Bombyx mori: one gene and its partners. The protein of the gene in region 5 purifies or fractionates together with the protein of the main gene of each other region. This does not show direct contact. Links are inferred from orthologs where the notes say so. Each region holds a gene or a part of one and is shown on either strand. Other genes may lie near its edges. The genes, in order: transcription initiation factor TFIID subunit 4, transcription initiation factor TFIID subunit 12, transcription initiation factor TFIID subunit 9, transcription initiation factor TFIID subunit 6, Tbp and transcription initiation factor TFIID subunit 5.

The links.
Region 1: the proteins of Tbp (region 5) and transcription initiation factor TFIID subunit 4 purify together in Drosophila melanogaster (affinity purification with western blotting; 7 studies listed by BioGRID). This does not show direct contact. The link is inferred for Bombyx mori from reciprocal best matches to the Drosophila melanogaster genes Tbp and Taf4.
Region 2: the proteins of Tbp (region 5) and transcription initiation factor TFIID subunit 12 purify together in Drosophila melanogaster (affinity purification with western blotting; 3 studies listed by BioGRID, with this or other methods). This does not show direct contact. The link is inferred for Bombyx mori from reciprocal best matches to the Drosophila melanogaster genes Tbp and Taf12.
Region 3: the proteins of Tbp (region 5) and transcription initiation factor TFIID subunit 9 purify together in Drosophila melanogaster (affinity purification with western blotting; 8 studies listed by BioGRID, with this or other methods). This does not show direct contact. The link is inferred for Bombyx mori from reciprocal best matches to the Drosophila melanogaster genes Tbp and Taf9.
Region 4: the proteins of Tbp (region 5) and transcription initiation factor TFIID subunit 6 purify together in Drosophila melanogaster (affinity purification with western blotting; 5 studies listed by BioGRID, with this or other methods). This does not show direct contact. The link is inferred for Bombyx mori from reciprocal best matches to the Drosophila melanogaster genes Tbp and Taf6.
Region 6: the proteins of Tbp (region 5) and transcription initiation factor TFIID subunit 5 purify together in Drosophila melanogaster (affinity purification with western blotting; 4 studies listed by BioGRID). This does not show direct contact. The link is inferred for Bombyx mori from reciprocal best matches to the Drosophila melanogaster genes Tbp and Taf5.

Annotation. Positions count from the first base shown.
Region 1 is NC_085107.1:19,834,974-19,838,969, forward strand, and holds the start of transcription initiation factor TFIID subunit 4, read right to left. Parts: upstream 2,801-3,996; 5' UTR 2,778-2,800; coding exon 1,962-2,777; intron 801-1,961; coding exon 636-800; intron 1-635. UniProt on the Drosophila melanogaster protein: TFIID is a multimeric protein complex that plays a central role in mediating promoter responses to various activators and repressors.
Region 2 is NC_085113.1:5,365,976-5,369,838, forward strand, and holds transcription initiation factor TFIID subunit 12, read right to left. Parts: upstream 2,640-3,863; 5' UTR 2,502-2,639; coding exon 2,292-2,501; intron 1,810-2,291; coding exon 1,617-1,809; intron 763-1,616; coding exon 635-762; 3' UTR 501-634; downstream 1-500. UniProt on the Drosophila melanogaster protein: TFIID is a multimeric protein complex that plays a central role in mediating promoter responses to various activators and repressors.
Region 3 is NC_085109.1:1,357,273-1,361,188, reverse strand, and holds transcription initiation factor TFIID subunit 9, read left to right. Parts: upstream 1-1,493; 5' UTR 1,494-1,689; coding exon 1,690-2,057; intron 2,058-2,630; coding exon 2,631-2,853; intron 2,854-3,226; coding exon 3,227-3,346; 3' UTR 3,347-3,416; downstream 3,417-3,916. UniProt on the Drosophila melanogaster protein: TFIID is a multimeric protein complex that plays a central role in mediating promoter responses to various activators and repressors.
Region 4 is NC_085121.1:11,010,764-11,014,786, forward strand, and holds the start of transcription initiation factor TFIID subunit 6, read right to left. Parts: upstream 2,801-4,023; 5' UTR 2,380-2,800; intron 2,306-2,379; 5' UTR 2,292-2,305; coding exon 2,055-2,291; intron 1,937-2,054; coding exon 1,648-1,936; intron 1,321-1,647; coding exon 1,169-1,320; intron 477-1,168; coding exon 297-476; intron 1-296. Other genes in the region: E3 SUMO-protein ligase RanBP2, read left to right, coding at 3,401-3,469, 3,545-3,770. UniProt on the Drosophila melanogaster protein: TFIID is a multimeric protein complex that plays a central role in mediating promoter responses to various activators and repressors.
Region 5 is NC_085118.1:10,751,688-10,755,854, reverse strand, and holds the start of Tbp (TATA-box-binding protein), read left to right. Parts: upstream 1-1,367; 5' UTR 1,368-1,580; coding exon 1,581-1,853; intron 1,854-2,025; coding exon 2,026-2,156; intron 2,157-2,192; exon of another isoform or gene 2,193-2,329; intron 2,330-2,405; exon of another isoform or gene 2,406-2,508; intron 2,509-3,034; exon of another isoform or gene 3,035-3,172; intron 3,173-3,758; coding exon 3,759-4,002; intron 4,003-4,167. UniProt on the Drosophila melanogaster protein: General transcription factor that functions at the core of the DNA-binding multiprotein factor TFIID.
Region 6 is NC_085110.1:9,225,387-9,228,886, forward strand, and holds part of transcription initiation factor TFIID subunit 5, read right to left. Parts: intron 3,475-3,500; coding exon 3,275-3,474; intron 2,739-3,274; coding exon 2,537-2,738; intron 2,435-2,536; coding exon 2,245-2,434; intron 1,279-2,244; coding exon 1,203-1,278; intron 1,130-1,202; coding exon 992-1,129; intron 1-991. UniProt on the Drosophila melanogaster protein: TFIID is a multimeric protein complex that plays a central role in mediating promoter responses to various activators and repressors. May play a role in helping to anchor Taf4 within the TFIID complex.

The DNA of each region.
Region 1 (3,996 bases), on a different chromosome or scaffold from region 5:
AAAACGCGTGTTATGGGATCACACAAGTGCGTCATATGAAAATACTCCTACAACGTGTTTCCTATAACATGGAACCAATTGACTGTGTTATAGGATGGATTACTGTATAATAATTTATAATAGATATTTTTGATATTTTTAAACAATGGCTTGTCTGTTATACAGTTAAGATTATATTAATCAAATAACTTATAATTTCTAAAATTTATAAAAAATTTATTAAAGTATAACACTAAATTATAAATATATCTATAAACACATATCTAATTATATTGCATATATTATTGTATTTACTAATAAATATTTAAATACTTGAAGCAGCTTAATAACTATGCATAATAAGCATGCTCTACAGCTAGCACGGACATTTGGCTTATACTTAGATGTACTGTTGGGGTACCAGCGCATATATTTATGCCTTACATTAAACTAATGAATCCAGGTAATTAGTATTTATAAGTAATGATACTCCAATTAGAATCTTCTTACCTTGTTAATAAGAACATGCACCTTCACCACATTTGTACATGCATGAACAACATGAAATTGGACAAACATGAGATTCTCAATGTGGCGCAAGAGAGAGGGGGGGTTGTCCAATCTCAGTCAGGGTGTGAGTGGTTGTGCCTACTTACTGCTGGCACAGTGGACAGCCTGATGGTTTGAGGCTGGGGCGTCGTGAGAGAGCTGGCCGCTGGAGCGGGACCCACTCTCAGCAACTGGTATTGACCATTCTCTGTCTTTAACAACAAATGACCCTGCTGGCCCGGTTGTAGACTTGGTAGTGTTTGCAGCGTTATCTAAAAATTGAACGCTTCAATTCAATTTCACCTACTTCTTCATTAAATGAAGAGTAACAAGTGAAAGAATATATATTTTACTAAATATAAAATTGGAATGCGAATTCCTAAAGCAGGTCATTTGTTAAAATTTATAACACACTTCAGTGACATGACAACATTGACGGGACAGGTGACTGTGCAAAACTAACATGTATATGATATGATTATGACAAGGTTAGGATGGGTTAAGCTATTATTGATTACAATATTATACAAAAGCCCGAGTAGCACAATGCAATTATATATGACATATATGACATCTGAAATGAAGCTTTCTCAGATTCCATTAAACTGGTAAAGATTGCTTGATTTCATAAATTTTACTAATATTTTTATTTGTAGCAGTTTTATGGATTCCCAGAAAATTATATAATAAAGTTTAATTTATAAATCCATGTTGTATTAGGTTTATATTTTGAGGCATTATTTGATTGTAGGGTAGCAGAATTCAAAGTTAAATTTCAGCTTGTTTATGATATGCAAACCACTGAAAATTTGTTGAATCACCAGTGGGCCCATTTCCCATTGATAAAAGTTTAACAAGCAGTATTCTGTGTTTATGTGACAATTTGTGCAAATATGCTAAGAGTTTTAGATGACAGTGATGTTGCCCGAAGAAATCCATCCTCTTCATGTTTCAGTGAAATTTATTTACAGATAAGTGGGTATCTAAGAATTGTGTTAATATCTTTTGTACATAACCATAATGAACCATGTTATAACATTTATTTTTACAGCATAACATTATAATGCAGAAAGATCCTGTAGATTTTTTCTTTTTTGTTTTAGTTCCTCTATAATGTCTATTGTTAATTTGTTTTAGGACTGATAAAAAGACAATAAAAACAATAGAAGATTCTGATTTGATTAAATTAGAAATTAATAACATTAACTTATTTTAAGTTTAATGATTTTTATCTTTTACAAACATTTCAGAAAAGTTGCAATATACTATGTTTTGAATTTCCTAAATATTGTTTTATTTATAAAAGTTTTTTTTTTTTTGGTGGTATATTTACTTTACAACTTGTATCAGTCCTAAAAGTTTTAAATAAGTTTTAGTGACAAAACGCTTGGATAAATAATTAATGTATTAATATTTTAACATTTGAGACTTACGCCTGGTCCTGCAGCTCTGGTGCCAACAACTTGTGGGGTGCCTATCACTACTCTTGGTGATACTGTTGCTACTGACTTTTGTGCCGCAACTGCTGGAGCACCAGCTCTCATATTCAGAATCTGAACATTAGGGAGTATTGTGGGCTGACTCGAACCCAAGTTCTGAGTTGTTACAACTACATTTTGTCCAGGTTTGTTCAAAGTCATTACATTTGGTATTGAACCGGACATGCTTGAATTGGCTGTCATCGGTACTGTGACCATTCCAGACTGTATTCCCACTTGGCCCGAAGACGTCCCCTGTTTTAAAACTAAAGGAGGTTGCATCGCGTCTACTGACGTTATCAAATGATTTTGGGACGAGGACAACCCAACGAAACCGTTCGGAAGTGACTGAGCGGGAAATGTCACCGAATTTGGGTTAGAAAATGCTTGAGCCTGAGAATATATAACTTGTATGTTATCGTTACAATTGGTCACAGTACCACCCGGTGTCAAAGAGGAATAAGTACCAGGAACACTTGATTGGACATTATTACAGGACGTGCTATTTGTCAACGAGGGTCTGTGTATACTGTTCGCGGCAATACCGCAGCTAACTCCGCCTGTTGTATATTTATGACCACTTATAATAGAGCCCGCGTTCGAACTTAGCCCGGGAAACTGAGATGATAAAACGTTCACTAAAATATTTTGTGACGGCGCCGACGATACGTTAGTAACTAATTGGTTTTCGAGAGTGCCCACGATCGCGTTCACGGCTTTCTCGTCGACGTCTGTGGACAAAGCTTCCTCCAAAAACTCCGTTGACGCCATTTTCTACAAATCAGCGGATATGACACTGGACGGTTACAAACCGGTATTTACCGACAAAATGTGGTATCACTGCTTTTGGAAACAACTTTTATTTTTTACTTTTTAGATTTTTGTCTGTTTGATAAAAAGTACTTTTTTTAAGACAGCCCAAATAAAATCACTACCTTTTCAATAAAAAGAATAATTTTGTTATTTGACTGAAAATTGTACAAATGTTGGTAATACATGCTAAAAGTTGTCATACCTCAGATGACTATATACAATATTTACAGTTAAATACACAGGGACATAAAATAAGGTACATAAATAAATAAATAAACACCAACTTTGTGATCTGTTAAAAGTGTCCGCCAAAAAGTAGAACAGCGTCTTTGTACAAAGGTGAGCCAATTTACAACTGCAAAGGTTTCAGGCTAAAACTTATTCTTAATTCGCTATTCATAACTATATTTTAATTTTAAGTCTCTTTTGTTGTGATTGTGTTAGACACTTTATAAATTACGTTCTTATCAAATCCTAATGTTATAATACCACATTTTACTCCATCTAAAGTGATCGACATTCCTTAATGAATTGAATTATAATGAGGTCTAAGTCGCAAGTCGCAAAATTTTAGTTATGATATTAATTTATATTTTTGGAAAAATATTAACAAGCTAAAAAGCTACGTTAATATTTTTTAAATTATCTATACCAATATTATAAAGAAGAAAGATTTGTTTGTTTGTTTGTATTGAATAGGCTCCGAAACCACTGAACCGATTTGAAAAATTCTTTCACTGTTTCGAAGCTACATTATTCCCGAGTGACATAGGTTATATTATTTTTTGAAAAATTTAGGGATCTTACTAAAACTAAAACTCCAATAATGTAACCCAAGGTGTAAAAAAATTACCTTCAATATTCTTTCCATCGCGTGCCCTGCGAAAACTATTGATAATAGAATAAAATAATGTACAACTTTGTAGAACACATTATTTACAAAAAGTGTCGCAACAGCATATGTACTCTTATAGTTATTCCGCAATAAGTGTTCTTTTATTTAAAAAAAAATAAAACAACGTCAAATATCATTGAATTTTTTATTAAAGACCCGAGCGGAGACGGTGCGGGCCGCTAGTACTGTATAAATTGAATTAAATTCACGAAAATTTTAGTGCGTTTCAATATGATTAGTAGCATAAATAAAGTAGAGTAAACGAAATAAACGAAATAAAAC
Region 2 (3,863 bases), on a different chromosome or scaffold from region 5:
CATGTTTGACATAAAAAACACAAGCTTATTAGAATTAATAAAATTGCGTGTTAGTTAAATGTTGTTTTTATTTGTTTATCCCATTCATTGAATTATACAACTAAGCTCGTTTGTCGAGTGGCTAAAAAACTATGCTAACTAAAAAAAGCCAGACTTCTGTAATAAGGAAAATATAAGTAGAGGTAGAGTGAACAAAATTATATGCATATTCTAAGAATTTTCCTAGTTTGGCAATGGTGTTATAATGAATAAACATATAAATCTTACAAAAATTTAAAACTTAATTTATCTGATGCTGCTAAGTTTACTGTAAAGTTTATTTCGTAGGACCTTGACAATAAAATAATATATGAACATACATAACTTAAACAATTTTTATAGTTAAATCTCGGGATTTTTATTTTCGTTATATTATGTTAGATGTTTTAAATATTTTATAAGTAGTATTAACCTTGTTTACGAATCACGCGAAAACTGACGAAAATAGTAATAGTCATACATATTTTGAAAATATTTATTTAAGAAAATTACAACTATATTCTAAAAAACAGCTTACAGATAAAATCGTAAACTGTTAAATAATAAAATACAAGACATTACAATCTCGTTTAGGTATTGATATCTAATTTATTAGCTAATATTTTTTTATCGATTTCCGGATGAGTGCCATCCGTTGTCTGTGCGCTTCTGTAACTGCTGCTCTCTTGTATGGCCGCAGTTCATCGTTTCCAAAACCTGGTATCCACATGTTCCACTGACGTTCTGAAAATTCAAAATGATAATTCATTTTTTCTTATGTTCTTATATTGACAATTCAGCTATTACAAGAATATCTAATCACGGTCTTTCTAATAGTAGAAAACAAAATTGAAGCTAAATGCATCAATGTATTTTCACTTATATTGCATAAGGAGTCTTTGCTAGGTTTCAACAAATACAAAGAAAATTTTAAATGAAACTGCAAAGGTGTAAAGCTGAAATGTTTTCCATTTTCAAAAGAATAACGATAATTGCTGAAATAATGATTTATAACTGCACATCTTATGGTAGGTAGATAGTGAATCAATATTGTGGTGTACTATAGTTATAGTTCTCAAATACCATGTCTGGGTACTTTTACTAAGGAATATCTTACATTTTGTCTGGTAAATTTACAGCTGAGGACAATTATAAAACTATTATTCCACAAATTATGTAATGATGTTGTTAATGTACCTATTCACCTATACACCTACAATGATTTTTATAAATGAAATATCCAAGATTTGGAGCATGATGTAAGCTTGTCCACTCATTTTTAGCGAATCAACTTCAAGGATAAAAACAGTAATGTTTACCTAAAATTCCTTTGAAAATGTCATGTATATTGACTGATAAGAAGTTTCATCAGATTTGCTCATAAAATATTCTAAAAAAAAGGAATTCACCTTTGCTATTAACTTGGCACACACAACATGGTTAACTCGCAGTGGTTAACAGTATTTTAATTATATTTTCATGATTGTTAAATGACAAACAACATAACTGATATTAGTTTGTTGATGTAAAACCAGTAAAATTAAAATTTAATTTTGTGTTGTGGCATTATATGTAATATTAAAAAATATATAATTTACCTAAATGTAGCTGCACATCTCTCAGTTCTACATTTGGTGCATGCCTGTGCTTAGCAAGAGCGCAAGCTGAATTCAGTGTAGTGTCGATGAAGTCATCTGCAAGCTGCAGTAACATTTCCTCCACTTCTTCATCGAGCTGCACTGTTGGGTCCACTTCTCTAACTAATTCTTGAAGACGAGGACGGCTTAGAAGCTGTATATAAAAAAATCAACAATATAGATTTTCAAATTGTAGTCATTATTGTCATCATCAGCCCACAGACATTACACAATGACTGGTCCTTCACAGCCCACATCCAGCAAATTAAATTTTAATATCTAAAGATACATTAAGGAGACCACATTAAGGATAAGATTTCTGGAAAACAGAATTTAAAAAATTGTCGAATTAAAGACAGGTTATAAAAATCTTCTGAAACAAGTTCTATACTCAAATTTTATGCTTCTGGTAACAAGATTTAATTTACTATAATGTTAAGTAACAATTATATTGTTTTGCACTAATTACTATTAAATTACTCTATTAAATTTAACATATTTTATAAAGCTTTAGTCCTTGACAAAGAGTCCAAATGGATTTATGGATACTATTGCGTTGTTGAGTTTGCGTGGATAGTAAGGTTTGAAAAAATATATGTTAATATACCACGAAGTCTTAAAATCTTTTCAACCTACCTGAGATGACTGGTCACCAGCTCCGCCTTGGCCAACTTTTGCTACTTGTGACTGGGTCCCCATAGGGCTGTGTTGAGAAGGAGAACCTTGAATAGAAGTGTTTTGAAGTTGAGGACTTTGCATGGGATTATTAACGTATTGTATAGCGCCTTGACCAACAGTCCCTATTGTAGGCATATTTGCTGCTTGTGCTAGAGAATTATTGGACATTTATACTTTTAACACAACAAACGAGAAAACGTCACGTATAAAAACGATAATCTTTAAACATTTCGAAATCTCCGAGATGAGTGTGTCAATACGAGTTTATTTATTTTTCTTATAAGATCGTCTCAATATTTCAATTTCATTCCTAATTGACAATATTACTTAAGTCATTTGTTAACATTTTTTCGACTGGCAAAGAAACCATACCCCATACAGCATATTATTTTGTTACAGGATGCAGGTTTTATTATAGCAGGTTAAAAAGTCAGTGCCGCCATCCGCCTTGAGACATGAAATCCATGTTTCAATTGTATTGTATAAACGACTTTCCCAACTTTCAAACTGAAACGCATGATTGCTTAACGACAACAATAAGTCGAATAGCGCGAGTGATTAACACTAATAATAAAAACTAGAAATGAATAAGGTGAGATGTCAGGAGATTAAATAACCTAGAGACTGTTTACTAAGACTTCAATAAAATAAAATTAAAAAGAGCTTTGTGGACGTGGATTCCTGGGTTTTTCCAAAAACCTGAACTGAAGTCTCAGTAAATAACTCTCATTTTAGGGAGACTTTATTACATTCCATCTCATCTCGTATCATTTAATTTGATCCCGATTAATAACAGCCTTAAATAAGTCAACTTCGTCCTATTCCGTTATCCCATATCATTTCTCACAGAACACGTATATTTAAATTAATTGGAGATTTTATAAAATCGATACTGGCAACAACGGTATAGAAAGAAGCTTATTGTCACATTGAAAAAAAGAACTACTAAGTACTTTTTTTTTTGGTCAGGAGAAAATCGCCGATCTTCCGCCCTCCCCTTTTTTTTTCCATCCCTGGGGATGGAGGGCGGGGCCATAGATTATACACTTAATATATTCGAGACATGTCAGAGTCGAACTGACTAAAACCTCCTGTTGCTCAACAACCCGCGTCCGATCCTCGCATGAGACAACTCATGAAAAGTCAAAGGGGGAAAGTGAAGCGTTTAGTGCACATCTCTCCCATTACCCTCCCCCTCGGGACGCCGGACCGGCGGTCGTCGGCGCCACGACCACCAGCCCTCCCGGTAGGCAGGCTATCCAGAGCCCGCCTAGATGGCGCCGGTTAGAATGGGTTATCCTACGGAATACCCCGCTGGGTCACAACCAGCGTGGGTCGAGGATAGCCGGCCTTCCATCACCCGGATGCTCTTGCGTAAAACGCGTGCAGAGCAGCTTGCACGTCCTCTTCTTAGGCCCCCTTCGCCAGTCCCCAGACCGACATGTAAAGGGGACCCGAAACACTTACAGGGCCAGGGCTTGGGCGAGATCCGCCTCCTGACCCCCGCTCGACGGCGGCGGCTTGTGCATC
Region 3 (3,916 bases), on a different chromosome or scaffold from region 5:
GTCCATGTATTAGTTAATGTACCTAATACAATATTACATTAATGTAATCATTAGCGATATTCTAGTACATTTCGTGAAGGTATCGCCGTGCTGCGACGTGTCAGCGTCCGAAGCGACCCACTTAACAATTGGATTGATATCTGAAAATACTTATTTTTACTGTACACGTAAGTTATTTCATATTTTAACTGAATAAATCGAAATGGTTATTATAGTTGTATGTTTTATTTATTTAATACCCTTCAAAATCCATGTCAACCTTCAGTGACTTTAGAAACAATTCTTGTTGATTCACCATCGTTAAAATAGTCCTACTTCCAAGATACTGTCTCATGAATGAATGAATAAACTGAACATGGCGCTAATCAGAACTGGCTATCTTAGTAAAAAAACCTGCCAGACTGTTATTAAGTGGATATCTAACTTTTTTGTGTAACTTGTCGAAAGGCAAGCAATTGCTTAAATTCCAACAGAACAAAGAAACATCAAACGGGAACGCTTGACTGTTTTGCGGCAGAAAAAAACCAGATTATGGATATCTATTCTAATTTATTTTTCAATTCACAGTTTATAGACGGTTGATAAATGAATATTAATATTCTCTAAATCTAAGAAAATCCTAAAATTAAATGAACCAAATAATACAAACCAGTTTTTCATTTTGTTACAATATTGCCGAAAAATAATATACATACATATATCTTTTTATTTTGAGTACTTTAATTAAGATAAATAAATAAGAAAAATGATTTCTGTTTTGAATGTAAATGCATAAAAGGAAATTTAATATCTAGGTAATATTTTTTTCGTAAGACAGTGCGGGATAAGCGTTTACATTTGTTTAAAGATAAAGGTATTGAAAGTAGAGATATTGAAACCAGCTACTTAGTTAGTTTTGTTAACTAACTGTACAGCTGTTTGATGAACGAAATAAATAAGAAAAAAGGAATTCATTATATATTTTTTGAAGTAAAACTTCTTTAGGCGCGTTGAGAGTGAAATTTAACTCGCGACAGATTCGTTACGGCTAGAGAGAAAAGATACAATTTAGGAAGAGCGAGAGTAAGAAAATAGGTAGGGCGTCTTGTGAACCACTCAACCGTGGAGAGAGGGAAAGGGCAAAGCGAGTTAGGTCGTTTTTTAATTTAGTGACATCTATTGGATTTCGTTTAACTACTACATTGCAAGACCATCGGTGTGAACAGTTTAGTTTCTAAATTATTTACAGAAGGCGGTATTTTAAATAAAAGTAATTATCACTAAACATATTATTATTGTAAAACCAAAGGACTCGTTCGGTAATCATCGAATACTGGTAACAACTTCTTTCTAAGTTAATCTTATTTCTCGAGATAAATTGAAGTTTCACTTCTTTCACGTGCACCAAGTTTTATACGCGCACCAGTTTTTTGTTTGTTTCCAAGTTCTGACAACAACCATAGAGAGATATACTTTTAAATGTGTTCTGAAATGAAGATGTCAATGGCTCAGAATGGCTGACACTGACAGTTTGAATTGACTTGACAATCGTCATCAAACAACATAGATCTGTCACAATCACAGCACAAGTGTTGTTTTTATAGCATTGTTACCAAAATAAAGTATGCCAATACTATGACTAAGAAAAAGATTTTTAAACAAATCAGAAATAATTCGGTCTAAAATTAAAATAACAAATAAAACTACAAGATGTCAGAGAAAGACAAATCCAAATCGGGTGGTCAAGCTAAGCACATTCCCAAAGATGCCCAAGTCATCATGTCCATCATGAAGGAAGTAGGTATCACTGACTATGAACCGAGAGTCGTGAACCAGCTCCTAGAATTCACATACCGCTACGTTACATCAGTATTAGATGATGCAAGGATATTTGCAAACCACGCAAAAAAGAAAACTATAGATCTTGATGATGTGAGACTGTCAGCTCAAATGCAATTGGACAAGTCCTTCACGAATCCCCCGCCCCGTGAAGTGCTACTGGAGATCGCGAGGGTCAAGAATGTTAATCCTTTGCCGTTGATAAAGCCGCATTGCGGGTTAAGACTGCCTCCGGATCGGTAAGTATTGGAAAATGTAGCACACTTTAATCCTATATCTCACAGCACATTATATTAATCTTTCGTGAGTATGGACTTAGATAATTTCTTCAAAAATCAGGATTAGCTTAAATAGCTCAAGGTTCAATCACCGGACTTGAGGGAAAAATACTCCACTTTAGACCACACGTATGTAATTTGCGCACCATGAATTGATTGCAACAATATTGTGTTCACAATCAAAGTTCAGTAAAGTCTTCTTGTAAACAATATCTTTAGGTGACAGATTGTCTTATTACAATTTGTAAGTAGTTACTGATACTTCAATACTGCCTGTTACTAAGAAGTCTTCAAACCTTACTGAAATAATGTCAGAATACTCCATAAACACCAATGGTTGCATTTGGGAGCCTGGTATAATAGTAAAAATGATGAATAGAAATACACTATGGACCAATTCCGCTAACAAAGGAAATTATGGAATAATTTTGATTAATTTTGTGTGAAACATGAGATTCCCTTAACACCCAGAGCCTTTTAATATGGTTAACTTGTAAATCGCTGCATGTTTACAGAGAATATTCATTTTTCCAGTTACTGCCTGTCATCCTGTAATTACAAACTGAAACCAGCAACCAAGAAAGTGATCACAAAAACTACGATAACCCCTTCCCCGTCCATAAAAACGGTCACCACATCCAAAGCACCTCAACAGACAGTTGTTATGAAGAGACCACCGGGAGCAATTGTGAATGTGGGCACCCCAAAAACCAGTCTCGGAACAAAACCTGTACTGAAATTTTCATCAAGCAGTAAAGTAAGAATTTGGTTTAATTTTAAAATTATAGAATAGATAAATAGACAGCACTATGCTTTATCATATTCATCACAGATTGAACTATTAAAAAGTGGTTTCTTTATTTCCTAACAATAATTTGAAATGTTGAAAACTGATAATCTATATTATGATATAAACAAAACGAAATATCTATTTTGTCTAATTAAATGTCAACTTATATTTGATAATATCAAAATTGCGTCACAATTTTTTTTTATTATATCTGATTATGTATTGAAATCTACATTATAAATTAAAACTAATTTTAATCTTTCATTTTTTATTTGCTTTACATTATTTCTGACATTTCATAGTTAGCACAATATTTAAATGTCAATGAATTATATTGCAGGTAGTAAAACCAGCTGTAAGAGTGACAGCTGGTCCTTCCTCACAGGCTCCTATCAAGATGGAGACAGACGAGCCAATGAGCCACAAACGGAAAAGAGAAGACGACGATTATGATCTATAAATAATTAATAGGATCACGATCTTTCTGCCTGGAATCAACATTTTGATATTAAAAAGTATCATGTGTTTAATCCTGTTTGTTTAGTGATTAATTCCATAAAACCTGATGATGCAAATTGCTCAGATTGTATGGTTTATATGACTAAGGGTATTTTAATTATTACTGTAGGTAGAAACAACAAAAAAATTGAATTTTTCCTGTTTTTTTTAAGTGAATCATATTTCAATGAAATAGCTTGCCAAAAGTTCTAAAGATAATATAATAACAGAAAGATTTAAGTAAGAGAATCTGAGATTAAAAGAGTCACTGTCTGACTGTGCCCTATAATTTAAGTAAGATCTGGAGGTGAACTCATACCGTTTTGATGCACAACTAGATTCTTTTTAATTTGCGACCGTATAGCTTGGCTGCCGTGCAAATTTTGAATTGAATTTGATATTATGTGTTGTAGTTTTCTAGATGAGAACAGGATATCTACAGTGATTTAACATACATTTAAGAAGGCATTAAAATAGAGTAGGTAAGATAAAAATGCATTCACAGAACTTGTCATCTACTACACTCGCGAGC
Region 4 (4,023 bases), on a different chromosome or scaffold from region 5:
CCTTTGATATACATTCTTCTCGTTGACTAAACATAATGAAGATATACATTCTACTTTTATATTCATTAATTGAAGTAAAGACACTGCAATAAAAAGTGGAAAATCCCAACATGGATGTCATTCACATTGTGGAATATACAAACTTGCATGATCAAAGTGAATAAATAATGTAAGTACACATTTATTGAATTTGAAATTTAATGATTTTTATCTTGAGACTCAATTCACAGTTTCAACATTTGATAATGTGACGAAGGTTCTCCATAATTTTGTTATTAATAGGAATAACTACTCACATATTTTTCCAAATATAGTGACTGGTTATCAAGTAGTGCCTTAACCATTCGCATCAGGTAAATGAGAAGAGCCAGATTGTTTTGTACGACATTAACCTTCACACCTTCAGATATAAAAGTACACATTCTGGGCAACATCTCGTGTAGTCCTGGGTCACAAGCTAAGGACTGGAGCGCTTCCTGCAAGATGAAGAAATTTGTAAAGCAGAATACAAAATTATTTTTTTTCAATTATTTCAGATCTTTCACAAATAGAATAACATACATATAGGATATCTAAACCTATTAGAAAATTCTATACTTTGTAAAAAGTATGGTTGGTGATCTTTGCCACCAGTTATATATTTAGTGAGTTAGGTCTTGTTTAGACTACACTTGAACAGCAATGGAAATTTAAATATAGACATCTTTTGCTTAGATGTGTGGACGAGCTCACGCCCACCTGGTGTTAAGTGGTTACTGGAGCCCATAGACATTTACCAGAAATTGTTTTCATATAGTAAAAAATTTCTGCCGTGAAGCAGTAATGCGTTTCGGTTTGAAGGGTGGGGCAGCCGTTGTGACTATACTGAGACCTTAGAACTATATCTCAAGGTGTGTGGCGCATTTACGTTGTGGATGTCTATGGGCTCCAGTAACCACTTAACACCAGGTGGGCTGTGAGCTCGTCTACCCATCTAAGCAATATGGATATGGTTTTCCATAATAATATTGTGAAATAGTTTCTTTCAATATATCTACTATAAATATAATTATGTAATGTATTTAATGAGAAGATATGCAACTTTTTAAGATTCAATATTAAATGGAAGAAAAAATTATATGGTGTTCATTGTTTTTTTTTTTTTCTTTCTATCAGGGTAGTTACTTACAGCACGTCTTGTTTCATCACTGCCAACACAGGCTTCTGTGATTTCTTTATAATAGAGCTGCTGTTCAACACTCAATTCATGGGTAGCAAGCTGTTTAACATGCACAGATTCTGATGCTTTCAATCTTGCTGCTTTGCCACATATAGGTTTACCTGTAATATTTATATTTATAAAAAAATATTATCTTTCACACCCGCATAGAATCGCTTTTTTTTTAAATTGTAGCAGTGGTAAAAAAATGAGGTTATGATTCCAATGTTTATTCCTATACATATATTTGTGTCAAAATATCATTTGCAATAATCTCTTGAAAATACTAAATAACTTGTTACTTGTGTACTTTAATTCAGATAATTCAATCAGAATCCATATTAAGCCCTACCAATTATATTCTTCCAGTTTTGTATCTTTTCTACCATAAGTAAAATTAATTAAACCCTGTGATATTCCTATCAAAACAACTGTTATAGTTATCTAACCTGCAGAATCTTTATTGCTTGGTTTACTCAGTTTACTTATTGGATCAACAGATTCAAGTTTCTGAGCTTCTTTTGAAAGCGGTGGTGGATTTTCAGGTACTGTTGGTTGAACCCCATCCACACTTAGCCAATGTGCACGAACAGATACATCCAATGGAACCTTTGGGGGTGGTGCTGATAGGATCTCCGAAAGATCTATCTCTTTTTCTTCAATGAAATGGAGTTCTCTACCTCCTCCAGATGCGAACCTAAATGGCAGCGAATCAGGCTGAATAAATCCATATTGACACTAAAATGAATGAAATAATATAATGAATTAAAAAAAAATATTGTTAATTTATCATAGGAGACCATGGAACACTTAAAGCCATATTTAAATATTGCTTTAACTGCAGATATTAAAATACCTCATTGTTTTTTATCTTCAGGGCATGATCTATATCTGTAATGGAAAGTTTTTGTCTCTTTGAGTGATGCATGAACTTCATGGCATCTTGAACAATCACTTTCAAGCGATATGTAACATCATCAGCGAGTTCCTTAGCAGCGTCATCGCCAAGAGTGGCGATACCAACACTCTCTGCTATCACTTTCATGGAATCCAACGTTAACGAAGATCCATAAGCCAATTCTGAGTCGCCCATGATAGAAATTAAATCTATAAAAAAATAAGGTTGTGGTTTATGAAAGTTGTTAAAGTTCTCAATTCAATCAAAGGGAGCATATGAATACCTTTAAGATACGTTGACTACAGCATTAAACAATGATTTATCACCAAATTGGTTACGATTACGATAGACCCCTTGTATCACTGTATTCTTTGGGTTAATCTTTAATTTTTTATTCCTGCTTTTTTCTGATATTTTCCTGTTGTGATAAGGTAAAGTTAATTAATGTAGATAAGTAGGTAGGTATGTACCTGTGTACCCTAATTTATTTACTATTTGGATACAAGTAGACATTCTACCATAGATTTTTTTGGTACAACATATTCTTCTTCTTAGTTTTTGGATCCGGCACGTTTGTGCATTAGCCAGCGTCAAGTAATAAGATTTTTAGGAATCGCCGTTTTAAGTAGGTATTTACAGTTTACGAATAATAAAAAACGAAGGAAACTTAATCAATTGGCATGAAATGCTGCTTATGCTGCCCATGCTCTATTATTTGTCTTGAGTGTGAAAAAACTGGATGAAGCTATTTTATGCCAATACTATGGACATGTCACACCCAAAATTAAAACTACGGTCTCATGCCATAAGATGGGTGTAGATTATAATGTCTATGGGATCAAGTTGAGTGCATGAGCTAAGGATTGCGTAATTTATGATTTTTTTATTAAGCCAAGTAAATTTTATGACAACAAATAGAAACCATATTTTTTTACATTTTTAAGCATTGCTTTATAAAATTGTTCAGTAATGCATGCCACAGAAAAGTATTCCAGAAAATGAACAGTTATGAAACAAACATTTTTAAATTTGTGGTACATTTTGAGCTCATTTTTAGATCTAGCAATTTTTTGCTCTATAACTGACGACATATTGACTTTTGACGGCATTCCAATTTCTATTCGTTATTATTCATTTTGCCAACCATTTCAAAGAGAATAAAGGTAATCAATATAACCAACCATAGCTTCGCGTTCGATTACGGGCATTTGCAGCCTCATGCGCTTCAAGTTGTAATATTATTTTCAAAAGGTCTAGTTTTGTAAATAAGTGACTACTATCGGTTAGACGGAAAAATCGTTAAAATGTATAGAAATAAAAAAGACGTTGATAAGCACGTCGAAAATTTGCTGAACAAAATATCTTCGAGAGAGGTTGGTAGTTGGTGTTCAAATCAAGTATTACGCTTATTGACAAAGTTTTTACCATCGATATTTGGTTATTTTCAGTTTAAAAGTCGTGCTTATTCCATCGCTCGGTTGTATTTTGAAGTTGGCGATTTTGCGAATTGCCAAAAATATGTTGAGCAATATCTTACTCAAAAAGATAACAATGCAGCGGCTTATAAACTTCTCGGACAAGCTTTGCAGAAGATAGGACAAAAAGAAAAGGCTTTAGAACAATACAAAACTTCCCTGGACATTGACCCAGCCCAGACAAGCACTATTCTAGACAGTAAGTCTTACTAAAATAATATTTAATTTACAATTTATCATATAGCTACTTTACTAGGTTTGTTAATATTAAAACCAAAATCTTCTATTAAGCCATTTTTATGTGCAGTATTCTTATATATATTTATTTATATTTATGTGAAAATTATATTCTTAGTTATATTCTTTTTTTCTATCAGTAAGTGTGTTGGTGGTAGTACTATGATTAATTTATTTCCTTAGATGATTCTTGTCAGCTTGGAAGAGGTCATATT
Region 5 (4,167 bases):
TTCTTTCTTTCCACAGCGTAAACAATGCATTGGATTTAATTTTCGTGTTGTATTTTGATGTAATGGTACGGTTTTGGTTTTGCTCCTATTTATTTTTTTAATACTTGTTCGTGGTGTGTCTTGTTCTGCCTGTTCTCTTGATTGAGAGATTGTAAAAATTTGTTGGAAGGTTACTTCTCGTGGTATTCCGTCTACCATTTGAACTAAATCAGGCCATTTTTGTTTCAAGTCGGTTTCTAAATCTGGATGATTCAATCCAGTGGCAAAGCGGTCACGTAATTGTCGTTCCAGGAAGTCATTAGTGTAGCCACAATCCCGACTAAGACCTTTTAATCTGTTTGCATAGTGTTCCATCGTTTCATTTTGTTCTCTAGTGCAATTCCAAAATTCTGTTAAGGCTCTATACCTCGTCGTTTTTATGCGATAGAGGTCTAATAATTTGTTACAAATTTCGCTGTATGTAGCTATATCGAAATCAGGCGTTAAAGCTACTTTTAATTCGTGGAATATCTCTGGTGTTAGTAAATTCAGAAGCAAATCTTTCTGTAAGTCGCTGTTATCGATAGCAAGAATTTTGCATTTGTTTTCGAAAAAATCAATGTAATCGTCAATTCTGAATGTATCTGGATTGTATTTATCCATATTGAAATGTTTGATTATACTTATCTTGTTATCCGTATCATGTTTTGTAAAAGAGTCGTTCGTCACGCTCTTGGCCGTTGTATTGCAAACTGCTGGTACCAACAATTTCAAGATTTGTAAAATCTGCTCTTGCTGGTTTTGTTGTGCATGTAAAAATAATGCGAATTGTTCATCGTTCATCTTAATTTCTTTTAACTCGTCGCCAATATAATAAAACAATGTTTTCAAGACATAGCATAAAATATAATAATGATAGGTAGCAAAAATGACAATGTGTTTGAAGTATATTTCAAATAATGGAATATGTAAAAGAAGGTTACAACAGAGTGCACCGCGGCGCCGGCGCGGCCTTGACATTTTCAATGAACCTGTTACATTTCTACGTACCTATTCCATTTTGAACGCGCGCTTACTGGAGAGCGCTAGATAATTATTGCACACGAGCGCTACATGGGCATCTCTACCTGTGGTTCTACAGAGACATCATTACATTTCATCTCACTCATTAAGTTTCATCGGGTACCTAGTCCATAACATTTGATTCTATTCTATTACACTTTGGATTTAACAAACCAAATTGTCTTTTAACACAAAATAATGGACTAGGCTGAATAGTTTCATTCCATCGCCTTCGCTTATCGCGAATATGATTTTACTTTGACATGTTGGTTCTGAATTTTGTTTGAAAAATGAGGAATTATATAGATACCTACATAATGTGACTTGTGTTGATCAACTAAGTTTTAACTGTTTTAATTCATTGTATTAATTGTTTTGCTGATCCATTAAATTTGCAAATAATTTCACAATTTAGGTGATATTGTTCAGAAAGTAAGAACGATATAAGCGTCATTATCAATTAATAAATAGACAGTTAGGTCGACGCTTACTAAAACACTCACCCGAAGTTTCCATATAAAGAAAGTAAAGAAAGAAAAATGGATCATATGCTGCCAAGTCCGTATAACATACCTGGAATAGGTACACCATTGCATCAACCTGAAGAAGACCAGCAAATCTTGCCTAATGCAATGCAACAGCAACAGCTTCAACAGCAACAGTCCCAGGCACAACCGTCACTTGCCGCTCTGGGTTCGTCGCCAATTGTAGGATTTGGCGCAATCATGGGGACTCCACAGAGGTCTATGCACACATATGCACCAACAGCCAGCTATGCAACTCCGCAACAGATGATGCAGCCTCAAACTCCAGTAAGGATTTTAAGTCCTTGTTTTACGAGAATTTCCATTTATAATTTTAAATTATTTTGACAGTAATATTTTTCAATGATTTCATATTTGCTTTTTAATCCAAACCAACAATTCAACACTCTTTAATTTCTAGATAAATTTAACATTAACATTCAGCTATATCAACTTTTAGCAAAATATGATGTCTCCGATGATAGCTGCAGGAAATCTATCAAGTCAACAAATGCTAAGCCAAGCTAGTCCTGCCCCAATGACTCCTCTGACACCACTCTCTGCAGACCCTGGAATTTTACCACAGTTACAGTTAGTATTTGAAACATTTGTCCAATATCAATTTAATAAAATATTAAATTAAAAAGTTTAGAGTATTAAACTCAGCAGTGATGTGTATAATGAACCTTATTAGACCCTTAGTGGGGTCTCTTAAGAATCTTCAACTTCTCACAACTTCACACAGACTTCAAATTACAGTTAATCTGAAACAGTTTAAGAGGCCAGGTTATTTTTCATTCTGCTAAAAAAAAACAACGTGTATTTAAAGTCAAAGATAACCTGTTCTAAGTGATAACCAGAGATCTAAGTGATAAACATCACAATATCACCATCTTAAAAAGTAAGAAATTTCAAGGACATTTTTGTATCATCACCCTCCAAGCTGAAATTAATAATATCTGCTTTGTGACACATATAGACAGAATTTTAGTATTATCATCCTGTGTAGGTTCACAATTCAGGGCAAATCACAAATAATTACACATGTTCTGATACAAGACATTTTTTGCCATTGAAGTCTGCTATGCTGGACCATGTTGTTATTATGAGGATAATTTTGCCAATTTTACATTGTTTACTTTATATTGTAAGGCTAAATAACCATTAAGTTGGCAAAACTAAATGTAGTTTGATTGAGTTAATTATTATGAGACATGTTTTAAAATAACTTCACTTTTACAAAAGGGGCCACTACCTTGCAAATTATATCAAAAGATGACAAATTTAGTCAACACTAGTTTTTTTTATATGTAAAATTTTTGCAGTATGATATTATTTACAAAACAACCAATTTTCTCATTTTAGTATGCTCAAAGATCATAATCATACTGTAAATGTGATGGACAGTAATAAAAAAGAATGGTGGTTAGTATCATTCAGTAAGCTTGGTTATTTTGTTGAATATATACCTTCTCGTAAAAGTAACTGGCTTGGAACTTCATAATATATTTGGCCCTTGTTTGCTGGACTTAGCATAATGCAAACTGTATTGATAGTAATACTCAAATTTGCAAATAAGCAACTTGTGGCAGCCAAGCCAACAATAGTGTGGTTCTTAGTGTTCACTGTACAGAACATAGATTCTGAGGAACTCTTCAATATTTTGACTATACTTTTCAAACATCTATTCAAATGTTAATATTGGAATTATAATTTCCCTTCAATTTATATCCCATGGAATTTCATTAATTAATACAAAAAGTGATTGCTGAAAATACAGAATTCTTACACTATAATATGTTATTATTCAGTATCAGAGCAGAGCAACTCAAATGGCGCCTTTGCTACCTGGATTCTTTCCTCGTTTTCTCTAATTCGATAATTAATGGGAGATTTGAAGTGCCAGAATGTTAGTGTTAAAGATATAAAATTAAAATTAATTTCAGCATGCCCTAGGTTGAATTTTTTGAGTAAATATCAATTTAAAATTTTTGAATAAATAGTTTCAAATATCTATTATATTACTTGCCCAATGGAGTGTAATGTTTTGGTTTAAAGATGAAAAGTCTAACATACTTTAACCAACTAATAAAATGAAATCTCGTTTTAATGTAGAAAAAAATCACAATTTTGACTAAAATTAAGTCTAAATAATCCATATTTTTTTAAAGTTGCATTCAAAAAACATTTCAGAAACATAGTCTCTACTGTAAATCTTGACTGCAAATTAGATTTGAAGAAGATTGCATTACATGCTCGTAATGCTGAGTATAATCCCAAACGTTTTGCCGCTGTAATTATGAGAATAAGGGAACCGAGAACAACAGCTTTAATTTTCTCATCTGGTAAAATGGTCTGTACTGGTGCCAAAAGTGAGGAAGACTCCCGTTTAGCGGCAAGAAAATATGCTAGAATAATCCAGAAATTAGGCTTCACAGTGAGTATTATAATTTATTTCAATCACAATTAGACAAGCAGTTTCACTTGATGGATGGATTAGCACCAAAAATTTAGATATCAAATAGGTATCTCGAATAATGTTTTTCCTTAGATTCTACAATACATCTAGTCTAGGTAGAGTCTAAAACTACATTTAAGTTTT
Region 6 (3,500 bases), on a different chromosome or scaffold from region 5:
TTTAGTGTGTTCTCTGTGTGTTTTCGCATTGTTTGCTTTGAAAAATTTTATTCACAATTCTAGAAAAGTTAAATATCATGTTATTTCCGAATACGAATTATACCGTGGCATCAGTAGAAAAATGGGTACCGCATTAGATAATTGACTTCCATCAGCGATTTTGAGTGACTGAAGATAAATTCAAAATAGTCGAAAATAAGATCTGTAAGATCGTTAAAAGTAGACGTTTCGCGAACAAGTTTGTGTTAACCGAACCACTACAGTTACTAGAAATCCGACTAAGAAATTTCTGTAGGTCCATTACCAATATTATTTCAGTCTTCAATAAATTTTCCATCAAATGGTGTAATTATGTAGCTATAAACAAATTTTTGTTTGTTAGGAAACTGTAATTCATCATAGTCATCGCAAACCTATACTTCAAAAATAGAGACATGAACTGATTCTTTGATTATTTGTAATGTAATTGATTATTTGTAAAGTTTATTCATGACAGACAGAGTGCAAGCTTAACGGTACTTAGCGGTAGGCTGCGGCTTAACTATGCTCCTGGCGTTCCTGACGTCCATAGGCGACGGTAACCACTCACCATCAGGGGAGCCGTATCTGGTCTGCCTACAAGGGAAATAAAAAAGCAATAATACCAAAGTTTCTTTTGGTAACGCATGCATTGTTGGAAAGGGACAGTGCATCACATTCGAAATTTCATTTAATTAACTTACTAGCCGGTTTTAATGATAAGTCATATATCACGAGATCCACGAGATCCCATTCCACGACGCCCTTCCTGCGGCCAATAATCGGAGGCGCTGGCGGGACATTACAAGGAGTAAAATCATGTCGAAGTATAATGGTCACGACCCTCAGCAGTGAGGAAACGACGCGAGGAGATAATATAATATATTTGTAAAATACAGAGCCGGTTCACTGCCCCGTTCAGACTGGGAACTTTGATTCCGATTTCAAAGTTTGTTAAACCGGACCCACGTACCAGTTGTATCCTCAGAGCACGAAAGCAGCATTGTTTTAAAAGGATCAAATGCAACTTTATAAACGGGGCCGGAGTGCCCAAAAAGGTTGCGGCACGTATCACGGTCCTTTTCCTCCATCATCCTCACGAGTACATCACCTAAAAGTAAGCAATTTATTTATATTAGATTAAATCATTTGAAAACAATTATATATTTTAACCAAATTTATACCTGCTTCCCTGTCTATATCTTGTAGTTTTTCTGCAGATTTCATTCCTCGCAGTTTAATGGGAGTCAATGTCCATACCTAAAATATTTTAAATTAGAATATAATTTTGAGTTTTAGGATGAATGAGTAGTGTTTAGGTAGTAATAATTAGAGACAAATTATAATTTGAGAAGATAGTTTCTTTAGAATTATCGATTAGTTTCTCGGATGGTTTTCAATCATTGGGTACCCGAAGATACTTCGATCTATTAGGGGCTGCTCTGAGTCGTGATCTACCATTAATAACTACCCTTACCACAGGGCAATGCTTATCGTAGGGTTTCCACAGCGAGATTTAAGAGTTCATTGTGTCACTCGGCTTTGCCTGGAATTAACTAACTCTCCCTTTCTCAGATTTTTCCCGAGCATTGCGACATGTCGTTAGTATTAAGGCATGTCCCTGAGCCTTTGAGGTAATTAGGAATAAAATATTTAACAACTCTGATTTGAATTTTGCAACGACCTTTTGATGCTTAATTTAAGCCTCGTATACTTACTGTACTTAAATATTATCGTAAAAGCTTTTTAGCATTAAGTGATCTCTGATCTTTACAGTCATGTAGAAAAATATGTACACAAGTGGAAACATGATGAGAGCGTTATATTTACAAGCGGTTACTTCATATTTTACTGGGTTTACAGTTTTGTGGATAACGACCTAGGAATGATCACTGAGCGAGTGTCTTTGTCCTAATGCTCGAAACTTAGATGTGCTTATGTGTTTGATGATGTGTTTTTGACAAATATCTTCTATTCTGTAATAGCTGTCGCTACAATAGTAAGAGTGCTAAATTGGGAAAAACGTGGTAGCATCTCTAGTCAGGTTTTCTTTTTTCAAAAACTTCTCAAAGAAAAAATCTAGTCTTAGGCGATACAGTTCCTTCAAAAGCTCTAATTAAAAATAGCAGCTTCATTCCTATGCTATTTTTTGTTAGTTAGTAAAAAGCATATACCTGAAAATCATAACACATTAAATCAATACCATTCGCTATATACTATGTATACCTTTATGTTTGAGTTATTAAATCCCACAGCCAAAAGGGTGGAATCGTCACAAATATCACAACTAATTGCAGTATGTCCGCTGTTCAGTAATGTATAGAAACAAATAGAGGGCAAGCTGTCTGGTCCTAGCTGAACACGTTTTGATGCTTCTCTGAGTGCTTTGCCTTTCTCTACTTTATCAATTTCTTTTCTAAAATAATAAATTAAAATATGTGCACATAATACTATATTTTTTATTTCACACAATTTCTTTCTAAAAAATTCATAAATTTGCAATCAGTACAAGACTTACAGATCTGGTAGAGGGATCCTGTCATTAGGAGGTGCATTTGGGTCAGATTTTGGTTTCTTCATAAAAAGATTATCTTTTTTCGCTTTTTTCTTTTTTGGTTTGTCAGGGGTTTCTTCTACTTCTTCTTCGTCTTCTACCGGAGCCGGTAGAACTTGAATATCGGGCTCTTTCAGGAGCCCATAATACACTTTGGTGCGATTTTCTATATAATTTAATTTTTTGTTTAATTTAAATTTAAAAAGTTTAATCTTATCATTGTTCTTGTGTTCATTAGGTATTGTCGTTTATATAATTATTTATAATAAAATGTATTCTATTTATTTGGCCTACCTACTTAAGAGTCATTTATTTTTTGGCCCTGTGATGCAATGTCATCATAATGTTATTTACAGTATAGTTACAATTTCATTGAATCAGTGTCACTATTTAAATACCGGAAGAAAAACTGGAGAACAATTGAATGTATAGATGAGTGAACAATGATGATATGTGGCTCTCATGGTGATATGTGGTTATCAGAGCTCATACAAATCAAAGCTTAAATGTCATCACACATCTTAAGACATGAGGTAGAAAAACCAAGTCTAATGTTTATCAGTTGTCTCAACATTAAAACAGGAACTTATTACTGCAGCAGAAAAACGTAGAACGGTGGTACCTACCTATGCAGGTTAATATTTAATGGCTCTCATTCTCATTGGTGTTTATAGTAATTCGATAATTATTCAACATTCTCACCACTTTTCATTGGTTCTCCAAGTACCCCTCCAGCTGTAGCTCGAACTTGTGCTTGAGTTCTTCCTGGACCATCATGGACTTCGATTTGTATATGATTATTTATTATATTTATTATTACTGAGGAATTTTTCTGTTCGTGTAAGTAACGTTTCAGTTGTGAAGATGCATCTCTTGATAACTGAACTGTAAATTTATTTGTGCTGGAAATGAAGAATATATTTAGATG